4 linked regions of the Astyanax mexicanus genome follow. The protein of the gene in region 1 interacts with the protein of each later gene in a pairwise test. Links are inferred from orthologs where the notes say so. Each region holds a gene or a part of one and is shown on either strand. Other genes may lie near its edges. The genes, in order: adamtsl4, natd1, lonrf1l and lmo2.

Region 1 (7,939 bases):
TTGTATTATTGTATTACTTTTACTATTAATATACTATTCAGTATCACTATTTACTAGGCTACTAGTATTTAGCCTACATATGCTATTTATATTGTTAGCCTGTTATTACTTTATTTATACTATAAATTAGTAGAGCACATCTCATTGTAGTCTTCTATATTGTATTTATGGTAATATGCTTAGCTACTTTGCTGTATGTTGTGCTACTATTTAATTTGACTTTACATTACATTCTATAATCCAATCTGTTTATACTATACTATATTTTTACAATTTGGTTTACCATAATGTAGATATGTAAACGTGCTGTAACATCTAAATCTGTTTGTAGTTGTCTTTATAGTTTCACTCCAATAAAAAAGCAGGAGATTGTCTTTGAGGATTTTATTATATTTTTGTCAGTTTGGTCATTTATTCAAACCTAAAGATTCAATAAATTTAAATAATTCGAAGTGAATTAACTTTGTTCTGACCTAGAGCACAAAAAATACAAAAATTATGGGGAAGTTCATAGAAAAAAACAATTTCCACAATATAAGTTTCTTTTATTTTACCAAATTAAAAACCTCTGGAATATAATCAAGAAGAAGATGGTTGAAAACCTCTGGATGATCACAAACCATCAATCCAAGCTGAACTGTTTGAATTGTTGCACCGGGAATGGCATAAAGTTATCCATAAGCAGTGTGTAAGACTGGTGGAGGAGAACATGACAAGATGCATAAAAAATGTGATTTAAAAATCATTTCTTATTTTCGGCAAATAAATGCTCTAAATGACAATATTTTTATTTGGAATTTGGGAGAAATGTTGTCCAAAGTTTATAGAATAAAACACCAATGTTCATTTTACTTAAACATATACCTGTACATAGCAAAATCAGATAAACTGATTCAGATACTGAAGTGGTCTAGGGCTGTAGATTAAAAACCCTTATATAATATAGCAACTCATTAAAACCGGTTGATAAATGTGCAGTTTTTATGTTTTTAATCAGAAATAAATGCAGCTTCCTTAGTTTTTTTACAGGCCTGTCTTGCATGGACCAGTACCGTGGACATGTTGACATATTGCAGCAGCAGGCCAAAGCAGACAATGCAGCGCCTAGGTATTTATATCTCCTGCTTCTGTGACCCATCACCAGTGCTGTAAACACAAAATAACAAGGTTTTAAGTTGTTCATATCAAAGCAGTTTTTGTCCAAGCCAGCATCATATACTTGCTATTTATACATCATACAGCAGCTTAAAACAATAAATGCATCCTATGGCATGGTTAAATCTGCCAGTTCAGTATAGTGTGGAGAGCTGTGTGTGTAAGTGTGAGTGTGTGAATGTGTGTGTGTGTGCATGCATGCCTGCCTGGTGAAGGAATTAAGTGGAATAAAAACAAATCTGAGCCCCTAACAAAGCTGTAACACTAACTACTTCATCCCAGAGGTATTCGCAGAGGTTGAGGTCAGGGCTGTGTGCCGGTCACTGGAGTTTCTCCACACCACACTCGTCAAACCATGTCGTTATAGACCTCATTCTGTGCACAGGGACAGAGTCACAGTGGAACAGGAAACTATTCCTTATACTGTTGCCACAGAGCTGGAAGCAAATAATAATGAGAAAAGTATTTGTATCTAAGTTTCACATTGTAACTAAGAAACCAATCACTGAGAATCAGCCCTAAATCATCATCCACCCTTCATCAGACTTTACTGGTGGAACCAAAGACTGTACAAAACATGGACACTGAGATTCCAGTATATTCCGTTTTATAGCAATAAAGACAAACGTGTCTGTGATGAAGAGACCAAAGTTAGGGCCAGTTATGCCTACTTATTTTTTAGACCCACACCCTTCTCCCAGACCGAGCTTGTCTCAGACTGCCTTCATTGAGTTAAGGAACCAGAAGCAAAGTGGATTTTAATGTTCCAACAGTTCCAACAGTGCAGTTCCTTTAAAATACAGTACAGTTAATATCTGGTTGCTACTGAGACAGGCTACTACCTGAGCTGCTGCAACAAAGTCAGCACACACCAGGTATAATTTACAAAAAAAAAAGAAAATACATTGCAATTTTTTATGGTATTTGGACACCAGAAAATAAATGTGATTAGATTCTTGGCAGAGAACAGATACTACAGAGTTCAGCATGTCTAACTACATTAATGTTAGCTGACTGGTTATCAAGTAATAAGATCATGTTTTTATCATAATTTTATACTAACATAAGACTCATCAAAAAACATTTTCCACCTACAAAAAAAAAACATTTTCCAAAGTGACCACATATCACAACACCATGTAATCAATAACATTATGAATACTAGTTGCCTGACAGCTCAACCACAACTCAGCTACTCCATCTAATAATGCAGAAGACTGTATCAATCATGATACAGTGTAATAACTGTTCCTCAAAATCAGTAAAAACTGATTTGTGAGGAATGAGAAAATTTTGCCTTCATTAGCACAGGGAAAACCAACTGTTGTAATTAGACACTGGAGATGGAATTAGAAATAAATGTTCTTTTTTGTTATTTAAACATGTGGGGATGAGCATTGCTACACATCTTACTGCAACAAGCCAACAGAGGCGTTCGACACTGAAGAGCAATTTATCAGTCTGGATAACACTGCTCAGTTTCTGGTTCATTGTATGTCACTGCAGCCTTTTACCACTTGCTTTGCACATGGTGATGATCTTAGGCATCCAGCATGCAGCTCAGTCATGGGAAAGGCTCTTTCATAAGGCTCTGACGAAAATGAAGTTGCCTTCAGTGACAGGTTGGAATTGATATTGAGTGATGCAACTGGTTTGGAATGATACAGACCAAGATAGATATATTAGATATTTACACTGTACATGAGAGTTTGCATTGTCTACCACTTCATGTCTGAGCTGTTGTTTTTTCTCCACATTTCTGTTTCACAATATTAGCACTCATAGTTGAACAGGGCAGCTCTAGCATGGTAGAATTTCATGATCTGACTTGTGGCCAATCTTAGAATTCTGCTACAGTGCTATGTTTAAAGTCACTGACCCTGTTTTCACTTGGTCACTTCATGTAACTAATATCTGTGTTGTATTATGATAAAATTTTAACCACATACATTTACGTACGAGTCAAATTCATGTCCAGATAGATGGACAATATTTTAATTGTTGCTTAAAATTGACAAATTTTACGTGACATTGTGCATGATTTTATATGCTGTTGTCCTCAATGATGATCTTTCTCACAGACACGAATCACATGCCAAATTATATACTACATGGGGAGGGGTTTCGTTTGTACTAGGACGTGTTTCGGTTGTTGAATGTGGCTTTTAGAGATGGATGCGTTTACACTGTTATAACATGGCTCAAATGCGTCATAAACTCCATTCACACCTTGCATTAACAATGTCCTGGGTAATCCGATCATAAGTGGACAGCACAAAGTAGAGGTGAGATGTTTCGAGCATGCACTGTAATCTGATCACTCAAACCATATTTAGAGGTAGTCAGAGACACATATTATACACATTATTCTAGTATTCTTAAAGAATTTCAATGCGTTCCTGACAGCAAAGCACTAGCCGCGTAAACCATGCCATTGCCAATGGCAGAACATATATAATACCAGAGGCCACACCGTCTACACAAGTTAGCTAGTTAGGTAATGCATACATTACACCAAACAAATTTTCAAGGGAGTTCACTGTCATAGACAAATATCCAGTGTCTGAATAAAATCATGAGAGTCTTTCTAGAGTAGATTTGCGGTTGTGTCATCTTGAACATTCAGTGTAAGGTGGTTAGGATTGAAGGTTTAAGTCAGTCTTTTTCTCATACTGGCGTTCAGATAAAATCAACTGTGTTTAACCGTGTTCTTGACTTGGCTCAACGAATAGTGACGTAAACAATTTTAACAGCCAACAGGAGAGCTACAGCAAGCAGCAAGGCAAGCGCATTCTGTGGTGTCTTGTCTTGTCTTGACTTTAATCAATTCAAATTTATTCTAGTCTTTTCAACGTTTTTTAGTGTATAGTTAGCATGACTTGGATTAAAGCAATACTTGTGACCGGTGTGCAAGTGAACTAAGTGCCTCGTCTATTTCTTATGCAAAGAATTAAGAGTCTTATTGTAAACTTTTTCAGTAGAAATGATGTGGGAAATCTGATATCTGCTGGTCACAGGAGAAGCATTTAAAATGGCAGGTGTGAACAGCTATAGGTTTTAGCAATCGTCTGTAATCGGATCACCCAGGATATGTTAATGATAGGTAAGAACTGGGACTTGGACCTCCTCCTGAAGTGGTTTAAGTGATCAGATTTGTGTCTGTTTTAATCTGTTTTGGGTGTGTTTACGTTTGTATTTTTATATGGCATGGCCTCATTTAGATATAATCCTGATACCCAAAATTCATAAAGAGACCAGGTGTATATGGGGTTCACTGTGCTCTCTAGCACCTCCTATTACACTGCCAAAGTTTTTATATGAAAATAGGATGTCTATGTGCCAACCTGAAAAAATGAAAATATGAACATTTGGATGTTGTGGGGAACACCTGGCTGCTTTTCATGGGCAACCTTCCACACAGAAGCTAAAGTAACAACAAATAGAACAGAAATAATACAAGAGCATGCACGTGAAAACACCCCACAGAGACACATTAGATAGGAATACACACTTAAGAGTGTGTGTGCACGTGTGTGCAGTTGTGTAATCCACACACTCTCCAGCCCCTTCACTCTCCAACCCCTTTAGGCCCCCCTGCTGTCCAACGTCACACCACTTCTCCACAAGGACAAAAAGGAAAAGTTGGTTAAACGACAGAAATGAAAAAAAGTGGCCCACCCCTCTCTTACCCCTGAGTAGGGGGTGGGGGGCGTGTGTGTGTGTTGTGTGTGTGCGAATGTGTGTGACTCAGCCAGAGGGAGAGGCAAAGTGACAGAGGAAAGAGAGAGAGAGAGAGAGAGTCCGAGTGTACGAGAGAAAGAGAGAGAGAGTCAGTGTGCAGAGGGAGAGAGTGAGTGTGTATGTGTGTGTGTGTGTGTGTGTGAGAGAGAGAGAGAAAGAGAGAGAGAGAGAGAGAGAGAGAGAGAGAGAGAGAGAGAGGAAAAAAGAAAAAAAAGTTGGACAGAGTTTTGGACACAGTTTCACTTCGTGCTTGAATCCGGATTTGGAAGCAGTAAGAAACCTGATTGGGGTTCAATACAGCGCGAGCAGCTCTGTAAGGAGAAGAGAGGGAGAAATTCAGAGGGAGGAAAAGAGAGAGAAGTGATAAAGAGGAAGAAAGAGTGAAAAAAAGAAAAAGAGAATGTGGCCTGGGTCTGTGTGCAGGTAAGCCCCTGTGTGTGGGTTTAACGTTATTATTAGCGCTGTTTAGTCTGGTTACGTTGGAGGTTAATGCCTCCAGCAATATTAACAAACTTCAGTCTCGTGTTTTTCGGTGTGTTTTGGTGTCATTTTTCAGTACACCAGCTTTTTTTGGCCCACGTGCTTCGTTTTTCCCCTGTATACACAGTTTCTCACACATTGTGTTTTTTTAGACCAATAAAAAGTCTCGTTTGTGCGTTAATTTCAGCAAGTGCCTCCTTCACGCGCCTTTTCACCGTTTTCCAAAGCTATAGCTCCACTGTAGCGACCGCATGGGCAGGCACGGATGGATAAGGCGATGGAGGGGTGGGTTGGTGGGTTTTTAGGGCTGGCTGGCTGCGTGGTGAAGAAGGTCTCAGTGCCCCCTTGCCCTTCCCCTCCCCTCGCTCTCCCCGGGAGCTTTTTGTGCCGCTGTCCGGCGCTGTTTTCGTTGGGGTTTCCGCGGTGGCGCGCAGCAATTATGGTTTTTGTGCAGCGTCCCATTACGTTCCGCTGCGGCTGCACGCAGACTGCACCGCGCCGATTTGGGGGGTCGAACCGAATCCGCAGATGCATGACTTAGAATAACACGAAAACCCCTCAGTGTCTGAAGTGATTAGCTCATGGTTTGATGGACAAATAAGCAGCAGAAGTTCTGCAGGACGGGTTGGAGGAGATGGAGGAACAGTGGTCAGGGGTAGGGTCTGGGCACTGAGCTGAGTTTACACTCAGGAGGACACACATCTGCTGAGATGGGTCTGGGCCAGTGTTTACCTCCAGCTCCAGAGCTGTGGTCTAGAGGTTTGTGTCCGCACAGCTGGAAAACTCCAACCTGTGCAGAGCAGGTGGACCTCAGAAGCAGCGGTGGTGGGGGTCTGTTGTAGTGTGTGTTGTTGTCTTTATGTATTTATGATAAGGTGCTGAATGAAGGCATGCTTATTGTTGAATTTCTAAAGCCCTATCTGGACGGGATTAGTTTCTCAGGGGGTATTGGGGGGATTTTCTCTTTTATGGGGGGTCCTCTGTGATTTTAATTAAATCACGCGTTTAATAAAATAGTTATTTGTCTACTGCCACGCAACGTGATTACAGTTTGGACGCACATAGATCCACGTAAACACAACAGCAAGTGGAAATGGAGGAGCTACTGAACACGATGTCTTGTGACCGAGAAAGCCAAAAAACTAATTGATCCTCCTGTCTTTTCAATTTCAGTCCGGAGTAGAAATGTTAAATATTTTTCACAGACGTCCCCCTGAGAAACGAATCCCGTCCGGGTAGGGCTTATGAGTATGTTGTGGTGTATAGTGGTTTCTATATTGTTTTAAGTGGGTGTGTGTGCTGGGATGTACAGTACAGTAGGTTGGTTGGTCCTTCTATTGTTATGTGCCTTGTTTTTGTGTGTATGGGATGCTGGTAGCTGGTTTCAGATGATCTAATCTGGTATATGGTGGTTAAGCTGGTTGAAAAGCTTCTTATCTAGACTGAACCATACTACACTGCCTGGTCGGAAAATGAAATGATCTCGATGCTCCCTGAACCACTGTTTTCCCTAAACCACTCTTTCACAACTCCAGCCCCATGAATTCTGGAATATGCTTGTGCCATCAGGGAAGAAAAAAAAATCAATTGATATATTCAAGTAGTCAGCTGACTTCATTCTTTCATCACATACTGTTGCTGAACCTATACCTGACCAACTGCAGCAACCCCAGATCACTTTTTTAGGCCAGGCAGTGTATATACTGGTAAACAAGCTGGTTGACCACCTCTTGACTAGCTGAGTACATGATGGATTTGTTTTTAGTCATGCTTTGCCATGCTGTTCATGCTGGTCGACAGATTTGGTTTTGCTGGTCATGCTGGATGTCTATCTTGGTCAGGTGGTTCATGCTTTTGGGTCTGATAAATCATAAAACTCAAACATACCTATGCTGGTCAAGATATAGGCTGGTCAACCAGCTTAACCAGCTTAAGATGGCCAGGTTCTTTTTTTTTCAGCATGGCATAAAGATCTGCATGCTGTTTTTACATCATACATACATCCATCTGTCCTAACAAGATTCCCAGTTCACCACAACACTTTTGGGATAGTGGTTGTTGGGCAGTGGGCACTCTGGTTCACATGGCGTTTTAAAATAAGGTAAATTAAGGTCTCATCTGACCACAAAATCCCATATAAAACAAATCCACTCTAGCATTTCTTTGGTGTATTCTTGAGTAATGCCTTTCATTACAGACATACAGACAGATATCCACACTTCTTTATATTGTTGATTGTTGTCAGCCAGTTAACTCTGTAGGTCCTTTAATGTGTTGGTCTGTTTGTATTGCCCCCTTCTTGTTCTGATTCTCAGTTTTTAGGATGTTATTTAGGCAGCGCCTAAGTGGTGTGGTTCAACTTTCATTTCCTCACATTTGTTTGAGAGCACTTAGTTGGATATGTAGTGTTGTCTAACATTTCCTGTATGTGCATTTCTTCCATTTTTTTCCTTAAGAATGCTTTCCATTTTTTGGTCTCATTATCGTGTATCCCAGCATTTAAGATTTAATTTACAGTATATAATGTGAATTTCCTTCCTGGCAGTTGCTTGCATGTTGATGT
Region 2 (6,867 bases), on another chromosome or scaffold:
AAAACTTAATCAAACAAGCTCATGAAATGTCCACTGAGCTGGTCAAAACATCAGAGTTAGGGTCAGACCTGCGCTGAGTTTGGAATGGTTCACTCATTAACTCCTTTACTATTCACTATATTGTGGCGGCTCTGGGTTGTGTGTGTGGCTGCCTGCAGGCATGTTCTGTTCTCCTGTGTGCGAGGATGACAGGGGTGGGGCATCTCCCTTGGGAGGGGTTATGCAGAGAGGGTGGGCACCACTCTGGATCTGCCATCTGGGAGACACACAGCTGGGTTGGTGGCCTTTGGGCTAATTAAATCCGTGTATCATTCGTTCATTTGATATTCAATTGAGAATCAAAATCGGAAAATTAAAAAACCAATTCGTTTTTTCGTTTTTTCGTTTTTGAATATAATACCAAAAAACGAATAACGGCTTGTATTTTGTATTTTTATTTGGTTATCCAAACAAAAATTGGAAATTTAAAAAACGGACCAGGAGCCGAATTTGATTTTGATTTTGAACTTGACCCATTTGTGTGCCCCGGAAGTTACTGATTTGTTTATTCTTGGTGGGTTTCTGTTGCGCGGGAGTTCACTGCAGTGTTATCTACACAGTCTGTATTGCTGTAGGCAGCATGGCCGGACTGGAACCACATTCTGGCCTAATTAAAGATCTTTTTGAAGGTGGTAAGACGCATGAAGAGATTTCGTGCACGTTGCAGCAAATGGGGATCCAGCGATGTTCTGCAATGAGTGTTAGAAGGTTCTGTGTTCAACACGACCTTAAGCGAAAAAGACATGTATTTTCTGTTGTCATATCGTCTTCTTTCACTGCAACGCGTTTAGTTCCTCTGAACAAGATAAAACTCTCCATCCTCAACTCCATCCAAAGCCTACAGCAATACAGACTGTGTAGATAACACTGCAGTGAACTCCCGCGCAACAGAAACCCACCAAGAATAAACAAATCAGTAACTTCCGGGCACACAAATGGGTCAAGTTCAAAATCAAAATCAAATTCGGCTCCTGGTCCGTTTTTTAAATTTCCAATTTTTGTTTGGATAACCAAATAAAAATACAAAATACAAGCCGTTATTCGTTTTTTGGTATTATATTCAAAAACGAAAAAACGAATTGTTTTTTTAATTTTCCGATTTTGATTCTCAATTGAATATCAAATGAACGAATGATACACGGATTTATTTAGCTCTTTGGTTTAATGATTTAGCTCTCCTAGTCTTGTTAAAGATTCTGAGTGAGTGGCAAGCTGGTTCAATAAAAGGAGCTGTTGAGCATTCAGCATGAGTCTCACGGGTCTTCCTTCCTCTTCCACGCCACAAAATAATATTTGCTGTTTAGGGAAAACCCAAACAACAAAACATCTTGCATAGTGCTTTTCTGATGACATTACATTATGGTATACATTGGACATTTTTTACAATGTGTTATGGGTGTTCAATTGTAAACTTTATAGGAAATAAAATGTACTGTTGAGATTTCAAACTCTACAAACACACCATAATTTTCACTATTTCTGTAACAGGGAGCAATTCTGAACACTGTATCAAACCCTTTGTAAAGATCACTTTCTGGTTGTTCCAGAAAATATACATTTTAAGAAAATATAAATATTTCCTGATAAACATAATTGCAAAGTGAAAAAAAAAACAATAGGAGGTTTCTTACAGTGATGACATTGATTTAAAGGGTTAACAAAGAAAGACTTTTCTGTAGTTTTTAAGACCAATCTGAAATATTATTATCTGAAATGTATATTGTCCTCCAGCAGAATTTTCTTGTAATAACCTGACTTAAAAAAAAAAACCACTCCTACAGTCAGAGTAATGTTACAGCCCATCACTAAACTGAACTGAAGTAATGGTTTCCAACAGAAATTCTGAAATAGTTCTATATTTAATCTGGGAGTTCTAGAAGCAGCTCTCGAAACCATAAATCCTAATCTACTTCAGCTCACTGTGAACTCGTTTACCTTTTTCATGTTGTTCCTTTGTGTGTTTATAATTCTTTTATAAAACTCCTGTGTGCATTATTAGCAACTCTGTCTTATAACCAATATAGGAACTGGTTTCCTGGCAACTAATTATTAAGCCTAAGCCTAAACTAATAAGGATTTTCAATTGAGCATCATTGCTGGCACTGCAATTGCACTTATTGAGAAACACTCTAGACCTTTAATCCATGCTGGCCCGTGAAGTTTCTGTGCATGGATTTGCAACTGTGCTTAAAGTGTATATGCACCAATGAGCTTTGATGTTCAAAAACCTGCCTAATTTGGTGTAGGTAGGTCCTCCTTGTTCCAGCAAACACACAGTGTTCTGAAGTGTGAACTGAGGCACCAATATTCAGCAGCAAGTCCTGTAGGCCAAGGTGGGCCTTATGTCTGTTATTGTTGTTAGAATTCACCAATACTCCCTTTATATTTTATATATTACTTTAAAGTGAGTAATCAGTGTTTTTCACTTTACATTTTTTTTATTGTCCAATAAAAAGAGCTTTTGTTCTGCTATGTATTTGTTTAGAGTAAATGACATTTACTAAAAACAAAAAATATATCACAAATATAACAAATATAATTACTTGAGTTACTTATTTATATTTATTTTTTATTTTTAAAAATGTATTATGTAGTTTCTCTTTTTTTTACCTGATTAAACTATTTATAACTATAACTATTTTTTTCAGTTTCTTTAAATTCTTTATAAATGCACTAAAAATGCTGCATTGAAATAATAAAAAAAACAAATAAAAAAAAAAACAAAGGTTCACTAATTGATTCAAAATGTTTTTTACATTACGTTAGACATTTTAATGTTATGGCTTATCTGTGAATTTTAATGAGTGGAATTTAGTTTTTTTTTCTAGAAAAATAAAAATATAATTTTTTTTATTATTATTTTTTTACAATTCATTCTTTCTGACTACTATTGGCCATGAATCCATGTTTTTCACTTAGTTTCAGTTGTTTTAAACTTATTTGTTTATTTTCATTAAGGAAAATGTTTTTTTCTTGTCTTGAGTAAGTAGAGGCTTTTTTATTATATGACCTATTATATATTTAGTTTTCATTTTATTAAAATTCATCCACTGCTATCCAGATACTTTTGGGCAAGTGACCTACTATTAAAATACTTTGGCAGTTTAATTTTCTGACTGTATCAAGCTAAATTCGAAAATAGAAAATTGGGTATAAAACTTAATCATTGTTTTTTTTTCACTCAGTAAAGTGAAGAAGAAATGGGTTTCCATCCAGTTTTTCAATTATATAGTTTTTCATTTCAGCCTTTGGCAAACAGAATTTCAAGAAAAATGAAAAAGTGAATCTTCTCTCGCTTTTCAGATGGGTCCATTTTTGTATCTTGTAACACATATCTGATGGTATAATCCTTGCAATATGCAAAAATGGAAAAATCAGAAAATGAAGAAAAGATTCCTTTTTATTTTTGAGATGAAAAATATATAATTGGATAAATTGATAAAAAGTATTTATTGTACACTGCATTACATAAAAACCAATGAATTTTTACATCCAATTTTATATTTTTGCATTTAGCCAGTCAGTCAGAAAAAACAGTCAGAAAAAAAAATAATAAACGTTACACTGACCATGGCTGATCCGTGTATTTTTTTTGTTTGTTTTTTTGAGGGAAAATGTTTTTTTTTTAGAAAAGGCTTTTTATTTTATTAAAATTCATCATCCACTGCTAACTGTTATCTGGATATTTTTGGCCCTGCGTGGTTACAGTAATACGGTCTCCATCTAGCGGTCAGGTGCGGCAAGTGCATCACGAGGCCGCGCATCAAAACATTGCCTGCGTGTTCTGATTGGCTGAGGCGAACACGTGGGCTCACAGCTGATTTTTTTGGATGGAGTGTTTTTTTGCTGGGCTGTCTGAACGCCCTCAGTCCGCCTGGGCCAGCCCGGCTCTCAGCCTGCGTCTCGGGGCTGCTGCTGCTGCTGCTGCTGCTGTATCAGACGCAGCGCTCTCACCGACTTTTAGCGCACCGCTGCTCCAGCACCATGGCCCAGGCCGCCCAGATCAACATCCTGGAGATCAGCAGCCCCATTCGGGTCGAGCACGACAAGAAGCGGCGGCAGTTTAGCATCCGTCTCAACGGTAAAGAGGCTGGAGTTGGGCTGGCGGGGACAGGGAGAGAGCAGCGCTGCAGGGCTGTACCTTTGTTTTCATTACAGCCTCGGCTCGGCTGAGTGACACTGGCTGGCTGGCGGGCTAGCGTTAGTTAGCCGGCTGGCTAGTCCTCTGGAACTAGTCCACAGCAGTGCTCACAGCTCTGCTCTTCACTGCTGCTAGCTCAACACTTTCCCTCTTCTCTGTTAACAGTCATTTAACCTAACTAGTGAACCTAGTTAACAAGCTTAGCAACATTAAAACATAGACTTAAGTAACTAGTTAGTTGAATCTCGTTCGTCCTGTATTTTTTCCTGTAAAGCCAAAACATTAAAACCAAGCGTTAACCTAGGTTACAAGTTCGCCCGCTAGCTTAGCTTAGCTAATGTATATGTTTTTCCTCAACCTTAGCAACTAGCCAGCTCTCATTACCCTTAAGCTCGCTACACAGCAAAAATTCGACATTCACGCCCGTTTAACAGCTTAAACCTCGAGATTCAGGTGAGGAAAACTCATTTTAGAAAGGTCTTTCGTTTGTTTGGAGATATTTTCGAATGTAAACACAGATTTAGTTGCTTTTCAGCTGTATTTTGTTAGCCAGCCCTCGTTTGACTTCCTGTTACATCAATAACAAGAGATTATCTGTGCAAAACAAAACAGACACACAGTTGTTTTTTTCCTCTGTCAGTGTGGTTTTCACTGAACCCGTAGCTGAAAACCTTCAAACCCAAGCTTAGCTTTTTCTATCAAAGAAGAAAAGCAATTTATGGAGGCTTAGTTAGCTAGTGTAAAATGGGTTCGTCGATGAAGTGAAGCATTCATTACATTTAACTACATTGGAATAACCATTTATTAAACTGAAAGAACAGTTTATGCCCCAAATTAAGGGCACAGGCCACTGACATAGTGGTAATTGAATAGCATAATAAAGCATTCATCCACTTTTAAAGTAAAGATAGTGTCATTCTTGTGATAGGCCTATGTGATGCAAGATAATATATTGCTTAAAAAGCCACTAAACTCTAAAACATACCAGTCCTGCTTAAAATGTTTATAAACATTTCCTAACCTTAAAAAAACGCTTTTATTAAGGTAATTTCCGCCTGTACTTTGGTACGCAGACACATCACAATATACAGATCAATCGATAATACCACCCCACTGCTGACATCCAACCATCTGGGTCCTGCCACTGTCAGAGGCACGCTGCTGCTGCTGCTGCAGCTCAGCCAATCAGCTCTGCCTCCTGCCCCACCTCTAAACCCATACATCACCCAGTGCCCCTCCCAATCTACCCCTCTCATTTTTTAGCATTTTTCAAATTTGAGCTGAGGGTGGAGTCAGCTAAAATTAGGGGGTTTAGTAGCCCTTTACATGTTTAAACCAAAATGTTTAATTTATTGTGATATTAGAAAAATACTTGGAAAATCTCAATTTAGGACAAGTTGACATTTTAAGCAAACAGAACAGTGGGATCTAAGGACAGGGTACAACAGTGCCTTTTAGTGGACAGGGTTTAAACACAACACAAAATGAACCACCTTCCGAAACCAATATTTACAAGTAAACTAATAATTAAAGACCTACACTGTATTGCAAAACAAAATGTAGAATCAATATTTTCTTGCACACCTAGAGGGAACAGTTCATTAAATTAAGGCAAACAATTGTTAGACTAAGATAAGAATGTATTAAATGTAGATAACAAACATCTAAACTGAGGTAACAATTATGTAAATTGAGGGCACACTTGTAATTATTTACTTAAATGAGGAAACAACTTACTAAACTAAGTTACTGTTACATTGAGTGAACAAATTGTTGAACTGAGGATGCAGTTTTTTTTAACATCAGGGGATGGTTTGTTAAAATGAGGAAACCATTAATCCGGGAGAACATTTAATGTATTTACCTTTTTGTTCTACCTTGATACATCAGGGGCGGCATATCATTGACCTAATTAACCTATTTTGACCTACATTAGCGTCATAATTCTGTTTATTATTTAGCATTTTCATAATTACCCAGGGGGAAAACTCAGTTAAGGAAGGTTGTAAACTGTTTATACTGTGCTTTTATAGCAAATCATCAAAGCAAATAAAAAATATAAATGAACACAACTGAAAAACTCAATAATTATAATTTGTATCATTTTTAATATTAAACAGTCAATAAAGCCAGAACAAATCACAGATAACTGAGGCCTACACATATATATCTTGTAAAAAAAATCTGGTTTGTTTACAATACTAATTATTTTTTACTCATCCTTTGTTTGGTAGGTTCTTATGATAGAGCCGTGTTGCTGTATGAGTATGTGGGGAAGAAGACTGTGGACCTGCAACACACTGAGGTGCCAGATGCCTACAGAGGACGGGGCATTGCCAAGCATTTGGCCAAGGTGGAGTTTTATAACTGTAGATAGAGTGAAGAGGAATTCATGTATGAGTTATGACCTTAATTTATCTGTCTCCGGACTGCCAAGAGTGTGACCAATAGGCCAGTGTTGGCCAGTAAGAATCCAATGTCAGGATAACAGAAATTTGATTTGTGATCTGTGGGAATGCCATGTACTGTGTTTTCTTTAAATATCATTTAAAGCTAATAGACATTTAACATTTATATGGGGGCTACATTTCTGTTGTCATTTCAGTTAAATTAATATAATGCAGATATTTCATAGCATTTATTTAAATCCTCCAAATTCCTGCTCTGTTTGGTTTTAATAAAGGCAA
Region 3 (7,478 bases), on another chromosome or scaffold:
TCCGTAATGGGACAGTGCCATGTGCAGCTGAATGACAGCCCACCTCCCACTCAGCCCCGGTCCACCCCTAACCCGGCGCTGAATACACACTCGCGGTGTGTGTGCGTGTGTGTGTTTCTGTGTGTGTGTGCGTTTGTTTACCTGCTGCTGCAGAAGTGTATGACAGCAGTATCCCAGAACACACTAACAGACAGAACTTCAGCTCCATGCTTCATTCAATACAGCGACCTCTGCTGCTGCAGCTATCGCGAGAATATGACGCAACGAGAGGGCTCACCTGGGCGCGTCTCAAACTGAGTGCTAGTGCCCTACACAGGGGATAATTTTCTAGGGAAGGAAACCAAAGCAGGCGGTTGCATCCATACATTTTTGCCTTTCCTCCTCACCTCCTTCCTCCTCCTCCTTCTCTCTTCATACTTCTCCTCTCCTTTTCATCCTCCCTTCCTACTCCTACTCTCCCCCTCCTTTTCTACTCCTTCTCTTCTCTTTCTTCTCTTCCTCTCCTTCATCCTCCTCCCTTCATACTGCTCCTCTCCTCTGCCTCCTCATCTCCTCTTTTTCCTCCCTTACTCCTCCTCCGTCCTTTCTACTCATATTCTTTTCATCCCTTCATACTCTTCTTCCTTCTCCCTTCCTTTTCTTCTTCCTCCTCTCTTCATACTCCTCTCCTCCTCCTTTTCCTCACTTTCTGCGCCTCTTCTTCTCTTTCTCCCCTTACTATTCCTCTTCACCTCCTCCCTTCCTACTCTTCCTCTCCTCCTCCTCCCTTCCTACTCCTCTTGTCCTCCTGCATTCCTATACTTCAGAACACATTTACCAACATTGGTTACTATTCCTGAAATATAATAATAATAATAATAATAATAATAATAATAATAATAATAATAATAATAATAATAATAATAATAATAATAATAATAATTTATTATTATTATTATTATTATTATTATTATTATTATTATTATGAAAACAACGATTATTATTATTATTACTATTTGAATTTGTCTTAACACCAACCACAGAATGAGAAATGTACAGTAATACCAGAAACCACTGCTGTGGCTCCCCCTGCTGTTTATATTTTCAGAACAACACGTTTCATAATATAATCAATGAGTAACGAACTGCTTTCATAATAATTACCTAATTTCAATAATATTCAACTCATGTTTACAGTAAAGAAGCTGTCATATAGGATATAACAAAACCTGTTCTGATCAGATTAAACTACACGTACAGACCCACAGCTCTGATTAGAAATATCTCTATGTTATGGCTATATGGCATTCACACCTGATTTAAATTAAGTTAGGCCTAAATCATTCTCTAATTTCAAGTCTAATTTCATCTCATTGTTTGTTATTTTAAAGTATAAAATATTATTGGTGCTGTCAAGTGGTTAAAACTCTACATCTACATTAGTTGCGTATCACTTTTTGCTGTAAAATAATTTCAAATTGTGCAATTCAAATCAATGAATGAAATAATTGTCAAATTCCACACATTTTTATTTCAGATGCATAAAATATCAGACATCTTGAGGTCACAATTAAAACCTGAATTAAAAATTTATTAACACTCTTTGTACATGTCAAAACTAAAATGCCAAACCAAAATCAGGTAGCATATGGTATTGTTATTTTTTAGCAATTAACATTATAATTATATTTTGAACAGACCTGGAAAATCAAATTCATGTATTTCTGAACTATACTTAATTAATGTCAGACAAGTAACAGTTTCTGAAATGTTTGTTATTCACTTACACATCTCTCTCTCTCTTTCTGGAATAGAGACTTATTAAACAAAAAGTTGAATGAACTAAAATAAACTGTCATTCCACTTATGCTGTTTGTGTAATAGACAGACCCACACTGTTAACATTGTTAAAGCTTGTAAAGGCTTGAAAGCTTGGTGGTTCCTTTACAAGGCACCTCGACGTTTCTAAGCAATGCTGCTCTGTCCAAACATGTTACTTAACTTTAGAGTAGTATTTAATTCCCCTTCAGTTTCAAACAGTGTAAAAAAACAGCAGTAAAAACAGTAAATAATAAATACATGTTAAAAGGGAGAGTGCATGAGTCAGTTATGTTATGTAAAAAGAAATAAAGGCAAGTATGTTATATGACTGTTTTGTAAGAGCCGGTTACAATAAAATGACATAACTGGGACTGTTGGTGAGGGAGGTCATTAGGGGTCAATCTGGGACTTTCTGCACCCTCACATTATACACTAACATTATAAACCCTGAATAAAAGCAAAGAGTAAGAAATCCAGAGAGAAGAAGCCGCAGAGTCTATATTTATTACAAACAAATAATCTGGACTGATCTGTGTTTTGCAATTTGACCTAAATGTTACATGACTCTCATTCCAGTGCTCTCATAACTCAGGAGCTGGGAGTTGAATGCGCATGCGCAGACACACTGCCCTAAAACAAACCCGGACCTTTTTTCGTTTGTTTCACTGCCTTAAAAATCACCGTTTATTACGGATTAAAGTTCCCGCTGATGAAATAAAATAAATATCAGCCAAAATCGCCGACATGTTCCTCACATAGCTGTTTTTTTTTTTTTTTTGCGTTTTCGCCGACTAACACTCACGTGTCTGTGTTGCTATGGGACGCTTAGCCTGGTGCTGCTAAGCTAACGCTTGTTGTGCTAATGTTTTGACAGGAATAAAAGAAGAAAAAATATTCATTTTCTTTTAACTTAAAATAAAAAAAAATAAGAAGGTTTAATTTTATAAACTTAAAGTTAAGAAAAAAGGTTTCAATGAACATTATGTTAATTTATGTTTTTTTTTTTAGTTTAACTGTATTCATTTAAATTTCTGAATAAAATTGTTTACTTTTATTATCTAAATTTCATGTTGAATTATATGTATTCCTCTGACAGTTTGTTGACACTTATAAAAATTTTTATATACAGCTCTGGAAGCAATTTACAGACCACTTCAGTTTCTGCATCAGTTTCTCTGATTTTGCTATTTATAGGTGTGTTTGAGTAAATAAACATTGTTGTTTTATTCTATAAACTACTGACAACATTTCTCACATTTCTCTCCAAATAAAATGTTGTCATTTGGAGCATTATTTGCAGAAAATAAGAAATGGCTGAAATAACAAAAAAGATGCAGAGCTTTCAGACCTCAAATAATGCAAAGTGAACAAGTTCATATTCATAAAGTTTTAAGAGTTCAGAACTCAATATTTGGTGAAATAACCCTGGTTTTTAATCACAGTTTTCATGCATCTTGGCATGTTCTCCTTCACCAGTCTTACACACTGCTTTTGGATGACTTTATGCCACTCCTGGTGCAAAAATTCAAGCAGTTTAGCTTGGTTTGATGGCTTGTGGTTATTCTTTCTCTTGATAATATTCCAGAGGTTTACAATTTGGTAAAATCAAAGAAACTCATTTTAATTATAACACAATTATTGTAAGAACATCAAGAAATGCAACAAAACTGTGCACTTGCATACGTAAATGTAATAAACACTATTAATGTAAACAAACTACCTTCCACTACCAGATCAGGAACATCACTCTCTATCTTTCAGAAACTCCTGAAGACAGAGCTCTTCAAAGAGCACTTACTCTCTTATATCCCATTATTTCCCTTTGGCCTCTTTTAGGCCCAGTCTTAAATGTTTTTTTTTTAACTTGATCTTCTATGTCTTTTACTACTTAATGTACATCATTATTGTACATCGCTTTGGACGAAAGCGTCTGCCCAATGTAATATAATGTAATATAATTAATGAATGAGTATTTGTGATGGGAAGGCTAACCAAGGTATTTTGTGGTTGTCTCAAATATTGCTGAAACAGCCACAGCCACAGCAATTCAGGTGTTAGGTGTCAGATCTTCATGTGTGGTTAAGTGTTGCTGATTGGATCAAAAAGCTACTTAAGAGATGAGATTAGAGTATAGGGGAAGGGAATGGGCCCTATGAGTAACCTCAGATGTTAGGTGCATCAGTCATCATTTTCCTCTATTATGTTACTTACTACATAATGTAACTGTAGTATAACACTAATAAAATGTCAAATGTAATGTGTGCTAATTATACAACGACGCATTACAACATTATTGAATATGTGACATGTTTTCAAGTTGATGATTTGTAATAGCTCGCCTATTAGATTATTGTGCTTTATTTAACCTTTTGGCTGAGTTAAGTGAAAAGTTACACTTTGTGACAGGTCGGTAACTCTGTTATCTGTATAACTCTGTGATGTTGTGGGATTTGTCAGGGTCTGGTTGTACTTCAGTGTCCCGGTACACCGTGCCGTCTGTCTATTGTGTGACGCCTCATTTCCAGAGTTACAAAACTCACCGAGCGCACGTTTTGTAATCGTCGAGTTCTGACCAATAGGAGCGCAGGAATCTGCCCTCACGTGACCGTGTTTTTTATGTAACTCGCTTTCAGCGCTTGTTCTCGCGCTGGGCAAGGATGGCTGTGATACTATTAACAGTTATTATATCTCTGTGCTGAAGTTATTACGGTGATAATACTAGAGTTATAACACTAATACGCGGGCTGACCGCTCCAGCATGTCGGTGGAGAAACGCAGCGGGGCGCAGGCGACGGAGGCCCGGGCAGCAGGCTTCTACATAGCGGCGCAGGGAGAGGCGGAGTGGGGCGAGGACTCCAGCGTGGACCCGCAAAGCGTGATACTGCGGAAAGCGGACTCACTGGCGTCCCAGAACCGCCTGAAAGAGGCGATAGACATGTTCTGCGCGGCACTGAGGCACGACCCCATCCGGCCGGAGCAGCTGGGCGCGCTGGTGGACTGTATCCTGCGGAACTACAAGCAGGGGAACGCCGGGGAGACTGTAGCGACTCTGCTGACCCAGGGGAACCGGGGACAGGTGGGGGACTCGGGCTGTATGTTTGACTGTCCCGGGTGTGGCAGGTTCATGTGGGAACCTGTGACCGCGGCATGTGGACATTCCTACTGCAGAGGCTGTTTACAGCGGATACTGGTGCCCCGGTGCCAGGTGTGTAGCGAGAACATGGACCGGAGCCCTTCAGAACACAAACCCAACGTGGTTCTGAGCGGACTGCTGGAGAAGTGTTTCCCGGAGGAGGTGAGGAAAGCCCGGCGGGTTGGAGAGGCTGAGGGGCTGATGAGGAGTAAACACTGGGAGGAGGCTGCAGCGCTGGCCAGTGAGCTTTTAAAAAGCGGTGAGCTGTGTTTTTAACTTATTTCGTCTTTATCCTTCGCCCTAAACAAATTATGATATAAAACAGCACTGTTGTCCTTTATTACTGACAAAAGTGGAGAACCCCCACACAGTTTGGGCTTTTCCAGGCTAAACGATTACATAATTTATTCACATCGCCCGAGTTCTACTGACCAACATTTCAGAGAACCGGCCCCGCCCACGTCGTTCCTGGATTCACGTGACTCCGCCCACCAGCCTTACGAAACGCGTTTTTACGCGCGCATGCGTGGAGAGATGAAGGTTGTGTAAGGTTAAGTGTTGAGTTTTGTAATGTGACATGAGGTGAAGAGAAAGTGAGGCCTTTATTAATGGTAGTAATAACAATAATACGACGTATGAATAATGCTGATACTAATATTTTACTCATAATAGTTTACATGCTTACTTGTATGTAGGTATGCTTTATATAATTATAATGTATATCCAAATGCCATTACATAAATAGAATATATACACTCACTAGCATTTTGACAACTTTATTAGAAACACCTGCTCACAACCTTGTGCTTAAACTCACTAACCACTTTATTAGAAACACCTTGTGCTTCCACTAAGGATAAACTGAAATTAATTTTCTCAGGCTGAAACTGAACAAAATGACTGAAATGTTTCATTAATGTTGCCAATTCTTTCACCTTTACATACATTTGTCTGGATTTTTTAAAAGAATCACCTAGAACAATTTCTAGCTACAGTGTAAAGTATTTATGGAACTGTCAACATTTTTAACATCCCAGCAGATGCAGCACAATACAACAATATGACACAATATACAGTACCAGTCAAACGTTTGGATACACCTTTTCACATTCAATTAGTTTTCTTTCTTTTTATGATTTATTTTTACACTGTACATTTAATATTGAATTAAGTAAAGCCATACAGGAATATATGCAGAACTATACTGTGAACTAAAAGTGTTAAACAAACCAGAAGATGATTTATACTTTTTTTTTTTTAAACAGCATATTTAGTTTTGAGGACAGATCTGCACACATTTGGTATTTTAATCTCAGTGTCTTCATGAGGGAGAGTCACCTGAAATAGTTTTCTCAGTGTCTTGAAGGAGTTCCTGGAGGTGCTGAACAATAGCTGCTGCTTTTCCTTCACGCTGTGAAGCTCCAGCTCATCCATCCCAGTTGATCAGGTTTAGGTTAGGGGATTGTGGACAAACACTTTTTTTTTTTACCATTTACTGCGTAATTCCATATGTTTCCTTAATTATATTTATGTCTTTAATTATAATATACAGTATAAAAAAATAAATGAAAGATATAGGAAAAGCATTGAAGAAGCATAGAAGGTGTGTCCAAACTTTTGACTAGTACCGTAAATTAGTCAGAGTTTAGTATTAATTGTTTTTTTTTCACATATTTTGAACTCAAAAAGTGCTTTTTTTGGACATTTTTGGATCAAAACCTTTGGTTGCCAAATATTTGGCGCACCCTAGCTTCCACTCACTGACCACATGTAGAGAGAAAGCACATTGTAACACTTTATAGGTCAGTTATCGGTCATCTTCAGGGTCACCACACTGCGTGTACACCGAGAAACAGGCCACGGGGCACTTCAGGTCAAACCTACTGGCCAAGGTTTCCTTGCATTAGAGTCATGTAATCACATAATTATTTTATTATGCAATTAATTATATGTATTCCTCTCTGCATGTTTTCAGCAATGGTATAATGTTGCTGTAAATGATCAGAATCATGACTCATGGAGTGAGTGGTGTGTCACTGCCACTGCCAGCTTCTGTGAGTGTGTGTGGGTGGGTGAGCAAGCTGCATTATCAAGGTGTCCTAGTCTGCCCTCTGTTTTGGGCGCTTTTGAATAAATGTATGTTTTTTTTTTTAATCTGAAGGCTGACGCTTAAATTCCTCAACTCTGTTTCTGAACATGAGGGCTGACAAGGACACCCTTAGACTGCAGCACACACACACAGACCAAACACATCAAAAAATGTTAAATAACAGCAAGGTAAACTGCATTGCCTGCGTGCAACAACAGAGGTAGCTCTTTACACTGCAGAGTGGGCTCTTGTAGCATCATGAGGCTGGAGGCAGAGTGAGGTACAGTAAGAGAGTGAGGTAGTGTGTGGTAATACAAGGAACAGTCTATGTATCTATCTGTTTGTCCATGTATTTACATTACATTAAGTAATATTATTAGTATATTAAGTTGTCATTATTGTTAATATTATTATAAATTCTCTCTCTTCTGTCTCTTTTCCAGACCCTGGCAATGT
Region 4 (7,881 bases), on another chromosome or scaffold:
GCTCTTTCTAATGTTTTAGAAAGAAAAGGCAGTAGTGAGACCGGTCTGTAGTTATCAACCTGGGCGGGGTTGAGAGAAGGCTTTTTAAGCAGTGGTGTGACCTGTGCTTGTTTAAAAGCAGTCGGGAACACACCAAATGTTAAAGAGGCATTGATCGTGTGAGTAATAGCCGGAATGATTGCAGGTGCAATGGTTTGCAGAAGGTCTGAAGGAATCGGGTCAAGTGGACACGTAGTAGGACGGCTACGCGTTAGGAGAGCCAGTGTCTCGTTCTCAGTGAGAGGAGCGAACGAGGAGAAAGCGACGCCTTCGGTAGAGGGATACCGGGCAGCAGAGCATGATGTAGGACTGCTACATGTCGCATCAGTAAACTGTCTGCTGATAGCTGCCACTTTCCCAGTAAAGAATGAGGCAAGAGCTTCAGCCGTAAGGCAGGTAGCCTGAGGAGGAGGTGGAGGGTTGAGTAGTGTTTTGAATGTAGCAAATAGTTTCCGGGAGTCTGTGAGGGAGCTGATTTTTTTGTGATAAAATTCAGCTTTAGCAGCAGTGAGGCTGGCTGACAAAGAAGCCAGAAAAGAAGCCAGAAAAAGAAGCCATTGTACCCATCAATGAAGGATTGGCAACAGTGTAAACTGTGCAGCAACAGAATCAGAGCTTCAGTCTCTGACTTTATTTTATCTACAGGCTGTTGTGTAATAGAGTGGTGGACAGTGAGAGATTAAACACAGTGTTTAAAAACTCCAGCAGCACTGCTGCATCTGATCCACTCATACACCACCACCATTCTAATCAGTGCTAATCACTGCAGTGCTGAACACACATAAAGGTATAAACATGCTCAACATATAAAATAATAATGTAAATGTACGTCAGGCAACATGGCCCATGTTTTCCTCTGAATTAAATTACTTATACAATAATACAGGAAAGGCAGTGCTATAACATGTAATATTAGCACTGCTGTGCTGCGGCCTTAGGCACAAGGCCATAGGCCACGTAATGTAGATCAGCAGTGCCAATACAGCACATTATAGCACAAACCTCGAGTGTATTATTGCGATTATAACACAGTTCTATTATTGCTGTTTAATGAAAGATTTTGAGTTAAAAGGATGAGAAAATACAATCTGTTTGGTTTTAAACACTAAAATTATTTAAAATAGTTTCATTGCTGCTCTGTTTGTAGCTGCGCTGTTTGGTTCGTAAGCGCTGCATTGTTGCTAGGTTACCTATATGTGGAGGAGTAATACATTGAGAGCTTCGGTTACAGTGCATTACCAGCAGATAACAGCACTCATAGAACTCCTCTCAGCCAATTACAATGCAGGGTCAGGAATAACTGTGGTATAATTAAATATAAGACTCTCTCTTAAAGATCAGAGTATGTTTCAGACCTGAAGGGACTCTTACCTGAGATAGTCTCTCCTGCACAGCTTCCTGCCCAGTTTATAGTAAAGCCTCCGGCCAACTTCCCCCAGCCGACAGCCGCAGAGATCACAGCTCAGACAGTCCTCGTGCCAGTACTGCTCAATGGCCTTGAGGAAGAAGCGATCTCCGATACTTTGGTGACATCCACCACAGGACAGCAGTGATGGAGGTACCTGGAGGACCTCATCCACAGGTTCTCTGCAAAATTCATTAGAAAACTAAATTTTACCTTACTGAACAGTGTGTGGTTAAACTTCACACATTCCCTCCCTTTAACCATGATATGAGGCCTGTGTATAAAAAAATGTAGACAACACTCAGTCTTAGCAAATAACAAATATACTAAGTGAGGGCAAAAGAAAAGTGTGAGTCTACAAACATTTCCTGAAAGGCTAAATAAACAAAAACTTATTAAACTCATTAAAGTGTCTGAGAATTATGGAAGTGCATATGCTACAGCTGCTGCCTGGTCTCATATTTTTGACCAGAGTTGGCAGAAAATGGGCTGAAAACATGAAAAAACTGAGTCTAATCACTAAACTAAAAATGGAGAACTGTAATATAGCTTTTGCTGGTAGCAATTTTTGTGTTTTCCTTTATCAATATGGTTCAATATGGTTGACCAGCTTAGTTCTTAACAAGCATGTCACAGGTCTCCAGAGTAAGTGCTTGAGCTGTCTTTTACACAGCTATATATAACGCTTCACTGTCACATCAAAGAAGGTGGTCAGTGAAACGTTTATAAAACACTTATGTTGATATATTTATTATAATAAACTGAGAAACATTACAGCTACAGTAGAAAACACAAAGATATACCCACAACCCCACTCACAGTCTACACTCCTGCATTATTTATCATTATATATTTATTATAATAAACTGAGAAATATTACAGCTACAGTAAATAAACACAGAGAGATACACACACACACTCACAGTCTATACACCTGCATTATTTATCATTATATATATATTTATTACAATAAACTGAGAAATATTACAGCTACAGTAAATAAACAGACAGAGAGATACTCACTCATTAGCTTCCAGTGTTTTCCTCTCGATTGTAGAGGCCATTTTAGCGCTGGGTGAGAGGAACCTGAGAGCCGCACATCTGCTCCTCTAACCCCGCAGCGCTCAGTCCCCGGACCCGGTACCGTAGCCTCCTTCTCCCGCAGAGCTCAGTCTCCGGTAGCGCGACCCTGCAGCCGAGGCTATAGGATGCTCTAATCCGCACACCTGCCCCTCGCCGTTACTCGCGGTTACCAAGGGTTACGCTGCTTTTTGCCGTTACCAAGGGTTACCTGCCGTTACTACGGAATACTCGCCGTTACTCTGGGTCCGGTGCTCCGCATGTTGAGGGTCTGGTTCTCGGCGCTGTGTGAAGCTCAGACTGCGCAGTTTCTCTGGGCGGAGAGGAACAGCAGCTCCAGCAGCTCCACCCCTCAGTCTCCACACGGCTCCTCCTCCCGCCGCCTCGCCTCGGCTCGGCCCGGTTCTGCTGCTGCGGTTCTGACTGAGTGACTCCGGGTTTCACAGCAGCGGGTTTTATACAGTGTGTCCAGCCCCCGACCCTCAGCCTGCAGCACACTTCCTGCTCACGAGCCGCTCCTGCAACCCCCCCCCTCTCCTCCTCCTGCACAATCAGAGGAAACAGCGCTCACGACCTCATTACCCCCCCATCATCCCCAACACCCAACCAAACCACACCTATATAACACACACACCGTTACACACTGTTACACACACACAGCAACACAGCAGCAAAACAGAGAGAAGTTTTATAATAAACCAAATATTTCCATTTGGCTCAACATCGTATTTTAATAGTAATAAGAGTAACTGTGTAATAAAGAGCCTAAACTAAAGTTTCATTTACTCAACTGAGGTGGCAGAACTACACAAATTATACGCTTAAATAAAAGTACAAATACTACAGCACCACCTTCTCATTCAGTGTCTGTATGTCTTTATATAATTTATTTTCTACATTGTAGATTCATATTAAAAACATGAAAGTAGTTAAAGGAGAACTGACTTTTGTTGTAGTAAAACATGATAAAAAGTACTTTCCTTTGATGAATAGCACACCTCCGTTCCAACACCCTTGGGTGACACAGGGCATAATTTGCCCTGATAAATCACTTTTTACACTGTTATCCTGCTCAAAGTAGCTCCACACTTCCTTGCTAGAGTCTGGAGAGCCCTGACATTTAAAATGAGGCATTAATAACCTAAAAAGTGCCCAAGAAGCTTTTTAAAAACATTGTTTACATCCCACAACGCTAGCTTCAGCTCCCAGGGTCGCCATCACTGAAACTGAAAATATGATAACAGCGATTTATCAAATAATGCCCCAATAAAAAATCCTCCACAATCCCCTGATCTAAAGCTGATGAACTGAGATGGTGATTTGAGGTGATTTAATTGGAATGAACTAGAGCTTCACAGTGTGAAGGAAAAGCACTGTTGTTCAGCACCTCCAGGAACTCCTTCCTTCAAGATGCTGAGAAAACTATTCCAGGTGACTCTCCCCAAGAGTCAAAAATCTCACCAAGAGTCTGCAGATCTGTCCTCAAAGATGTGCTATACTTAGAAGAATCTAAAGTATTAAACATATTCTGAACTTTTTTTTGTTTACTAAATAATTCAGCATGTGGTTCTGTATAGCTTTAATGTCTTCAATATTAAATTACATTTTTATTTAGTTTTTATTTCCATATATTTACATCTGGATCTGATACAGGGTTCAAAAGATAAAACCTTCTGTCTGAACCCACCAATTTTTCCAATGAGCAAAAGTATTGGAACAGATATGGATGAAGTGAATAAGACTAATATTTAGTTGTAAATTCTTCTCTTGCAGTAACTGCATCACGTCTGTGAGCCACTGACATCACTAACCTTCTGCATTCTTCCTCTGTGATGCTTTTCCAGACTGCAGTGGGTTTTGGGCCATTATCTTGCTACCAATCTGTTTGGTTGAATATTTCTTTAACTTTCTGAGTTCATTAAATATCAATTTAGATAAGTGAGCCCATCCCAGAAAAAGCCATATCTCCACTGTGTTTCACAGATGAGCTGGTGTGTTTGAGATCATGATCAGATCCTCAAAACTTTAGCCTTTTCAATCACACTGGTAAACATTTATATTTGTCTCATCAGTCCATAATCAGTCCAAAGGCTTATCTCTGTACCTTATGGAAGATCAACAAATTCTAATGGTTTTGAAAATATGCCATTTTGTCCTTTTTGAGGTTCTGTATGGAATTATATGAAAATGTACTTTTTCATCAGCTTTTTTCTCCTCACAGGGCTCCTTGTTATGTTTATTGAGTATGATCATGTCAGTGTTTTCCTCCATTTTACAGTAGAAAAGGAGGCTCAGTATTTAGAGCATGAGGTTAATGATCACAGGGTTGTGGGATTAGTGGATTTGCCTAATCTGCCACTGGTTGGTCTTTAAGCAAGGCACATAAATCTCTTTCTGCTGCCCATACAGCAAGGAGAAGTCTGCCCACCATCCCTGGATCTCCTCATGCCAGGCCAGATTTGTTTGTCTTTACCCCAAACATCTGGTTTAATCAGTCCTTGATAATGTTAAATCATGTGTGCTAATGATCGAACTGAAAAAAAAATCTACAGTAGGGTCCATACTAATTAAATTTATGAATAAAACATTATACAAATCATAGAATTGTCCCTGCTCTCTCGTAAAAACATATTTTTATGTTTTATGGATGTGTTGAAGATTGCTAGTAACTGCATGTACCTGTGGTTCTATGATCCTTAATATCAAAATGTTATTTGTGGCATTTGTCGTCTACCAGCAAGTCATCTGGCATCATAGAACCACAGTTACATGTGTAATTAGCGTTGTTTCATGGCCTCTGTAAGATAGTAGATGAAGAATGCTATCATTATCATGAAGGCAGACTCACTAGAGTAGCAGCTGACAGATGTCAGCCAAAGGCATCAATCAGAGGCCAGCCCAAGAAGCTGAGATACCCCTAGTATATCACTGCACAAGTGCTCATACTGAGAACAGGCTGGAAGTTCAGCTATCAGATTAATTCAGAAAGATTGCAAGGCTGGTTAACAAGGATAAAAGTTCAGATTAGGCCAGTGTTACTAGGTCTCAGGTGTGCATAGGAAGCGGGTGTGTTAAATTTTGTAGTACTGCTCTCACACTCTCTTATACTGATCACTGAAAGTTCCAACATGGCACCTCATGGCAAAGAACTCTCTAAAGATCTTTAAAGACAAATTGTTGTGCTACATGAAGATGGCCAAGGCTACATGAAGATTGCGAACACCCTGAAACTGAGCAGCAGCACAGTGACCAAGTTAATCCAGCGTTTTGAAAGAGCAGTGTCCACTCAGAACAGACCTCACATTGGTCGCCTAAAGAACCTGAGTGCAGGTGCTCAGCGTCACGTCCAAATTCTGTTTGAAAGATAGGTGCAGGTGTGCTGTCAGCATTGCTTCAGAGATTGAAGAGGGGGGGTGGGTCAGTCTGTCAGTGCTCAGAACATACGCCAAACACTACATCAAATTGGTCTCCATGGCTGTCAAGTCTGTAAACAAGAAAGCGGGCAGTGTAACTTAAATATCTGCAGAAATGCGAGGTGCGTACTCACTTTTGTGATACACTGTATGTAAAGTTCTGAGGATGGAGCTGGAACATTATTGTAAGGAAGCTACAGATCAGGTCTCAATCGATAACACTGTGCCGCAGAGTAAAATAGCTGCAATGTACTCTTTAAGAGTGGATGGGACTCAATCTCATTTTTCATCTAGTAGGTGCTGTAGGTGATTCTGAGCTCCTTTTAGCCTTATCCTGCAAAACGATGAGAGAAGACAACAGGTATCTGTCAGGAAAATATGTTAGAGCTCATTGTTGTCTAACGAAACGAACGATTGTCTAAACGAAAACTGTCTAAACAAGATTTTTCATATAGATGAAACCAAGATTAAGCAGATTATAGATGGTGGCCGTGTAATGGCATGGAAATATGGCTGCCAGTGGAACTAGGACACCAGTGTTTATTGTTACTGCTGATAGAAATAGCAGAACACCCAATTTGTTTTGTCGAGATACAGCTCTAAATCAGAGAGAGTTGGGACAGCTGTGCTGTGTGTATATTCCTGGAATTGTATGTACACTGTATGTCTAATTGTGTCCCTGTGTTGATTCATTTTCTCTTTGAGATGCTGAACATTTATTCTGCCCCTAAAACCACAACATTATATTAGAATATTTTTTAAATGTACCAAATGGTCTTTAAGACAATATTACTAGTCTTACAACACAAAAGAGACATCCTATCACCATCTCACTTCTGTGTATTCTCAAACCGTCTCCTAACACCTATCTTTGTCTGATGCCATTAGGGCCAACTCATCTTATCTGCTAGCAAAGCCTTGGGGCTCACTGTAGGAGGGAGGCAACTGTCGGCTGGTGGACTGGGCCATAAGATAAAACTACCATCTCAGGACCGCAGACTTACCGGGGACTGACAGTTACACTCATGGAATCCCTCCAGCAAGCAGTCCACATGTTCTGATACTTTTCTCAAATGCAGTCCATACGATAGCTTCATTGGCTCAATTTAACTCAGTCAAGTTATCATTTTGCTTTGACTCAGTTAAGTTGTAAATACATACAATTTTAAGTATGTTCAGCTTAACTGAGTCAAAGCTAGATGATAACTTGAATCCGAGTTTTGTTCACACAACAATAGTTTAATTAACTGAGCAGTTTTTTTCAGGTATTGTTGGTTTAAAGAATGTAGATTATAGGCTTAACATATTTAGCACATTTGTAAAATACTGCCAATGCATAACACTGGGGAAGCATAAGAGTGAACTCTGCAAACCTAAGCCAACATACTGTGAGCTCCAGGAACACAGAATAAAGGTAGCTTGCTTTTACAGCCTACAACACTGGTAGTCTTCACACATATATTACATTAATGCAGCCCAGGATAAAGTAGCTTTGGGCAACAGACAACACAAAGATGCTAAGTAAATTAGAGGCCACATTCACTATGCAAATATATGGTGCCAGAAGCCTATAGGAAAGCTGTTTGAACCAACAATGTGGAAAGAGCATATTTATTAGTTATTAGGTTGAAGTTTTGAAATCATTTTATTGATGCCTGGTTAGTTTACTAAACTTGATAATATTGCTTCCTCTGACTACAACACAATTACTTTTTAGAATGTGCATTTATTGTGGGCAGTCTGGGACTGAAAACAGGATTAAATAAGTGAATTAACTTGGCAACCATTCCTATGTGAGGAGAGGACTCAATTTCACCATCACATCTGAGATGTCTCCACTGACATATTTTGCTTTGTGCACAAGCATCACACCACAGCCCTCAGCACTATTGTTTATAGAAACATATCAGCTACCTGAACCGCTACCAGCTAACTGTTGCTAAA

What was found.
Region 2: the proteins of adamtsl4 (region 1) and natd1 interact in binary tests that used the Homo sapiens proteins (3 or more experiments, as listed by UniProt). The two-hybrid records come from large-scale screens. The link is inferred for Astyanax mexicanus from reciprocal best matches to the Homo sapiens genes ADAMTSL4 and NATD1.
Region 3: the proteins of adamtsl4 (region 1) and lonrf1l interact in binary tests that used the Homo sapiens proteins (3 or more experiments, as listed by UniProt). The two-hybrid records come from large-scale screens. The link is inferred for Astyanax mexicanus from reciprocal best matches to the Homo sapiens genes ADAMTSL4 and LONRF1.
Region 4: the proteins of adamtsl4 (region 1) and lmo2 interact in binary tests that used the Homo sapiens proteins (3 or more experiments, as listed by UniProt). The two-hybrid records come from large-scale screens. The link is inferred for Astyanax mexicanus from reciprocal best matches to the Homo sapiens genes ADAMTSL4 and LMO2.

What each region holds. Positions count from the first base shown.
Region 1 is NC_064413.1:29,579,239-29,587,177, forward strand, and holds the start of adamtsl4 (thrombospondin type-1 domain-containing protein 4), read left to right. Parts: upstream 1-4,921; 5' UTR 4,922-5,296; coding exon 5,297-5,319; intron 5,320-7,939. UniProt on the Homo sapiens protein: Positive regulation of apoptosis. May facilitate FBN1 microfibril biogenesis.
Region 2 is NC_064426.1:27,674,819-27,681,685, reverse strand, and holds the start of natd1 (protein NATD1), read left to right. Parts: upstream 1-3,866; 5' UTR 3,867-4,023; coding exon 4,024-4,120; intron 4,121-6,414; coding exon 6,415-6,533; intron 6,534-6,867.
Region 3 is NC_064419.1:8,754,256-8,761,733, forward strand, and holds the start of lonrf1l (LON peptidase N-terminal domain and ring finger 1, like), read left to right. Parts: upstream 1-4,466; 5' UTR 4,467-4,558; coding exon 4,559-5,192; intron 5,193-7,465; coding exon 7,466-7,478. Other genes in the region: very low-density lipoprotein receptor, read right to left, coding at 142-208.
Region 4 is NW_026040047.1:1,173,598-1,181,478, forward strand, and holds the start of lmo2 (rhombotin-2), read right to left. Parts: upstream 3,024-7,881; 5' UTR 2,509-3,023; coding exon 2,468-2,508; intron 1,627-2,467; coding exon 1,411-1,626; intron 1-1,410. UniProt on the Homo sapiens protein: Acts with TAL1/SCL to regulate red blood cell development. Also acts with LDB1 to maintain erythroid precursors in an immature state.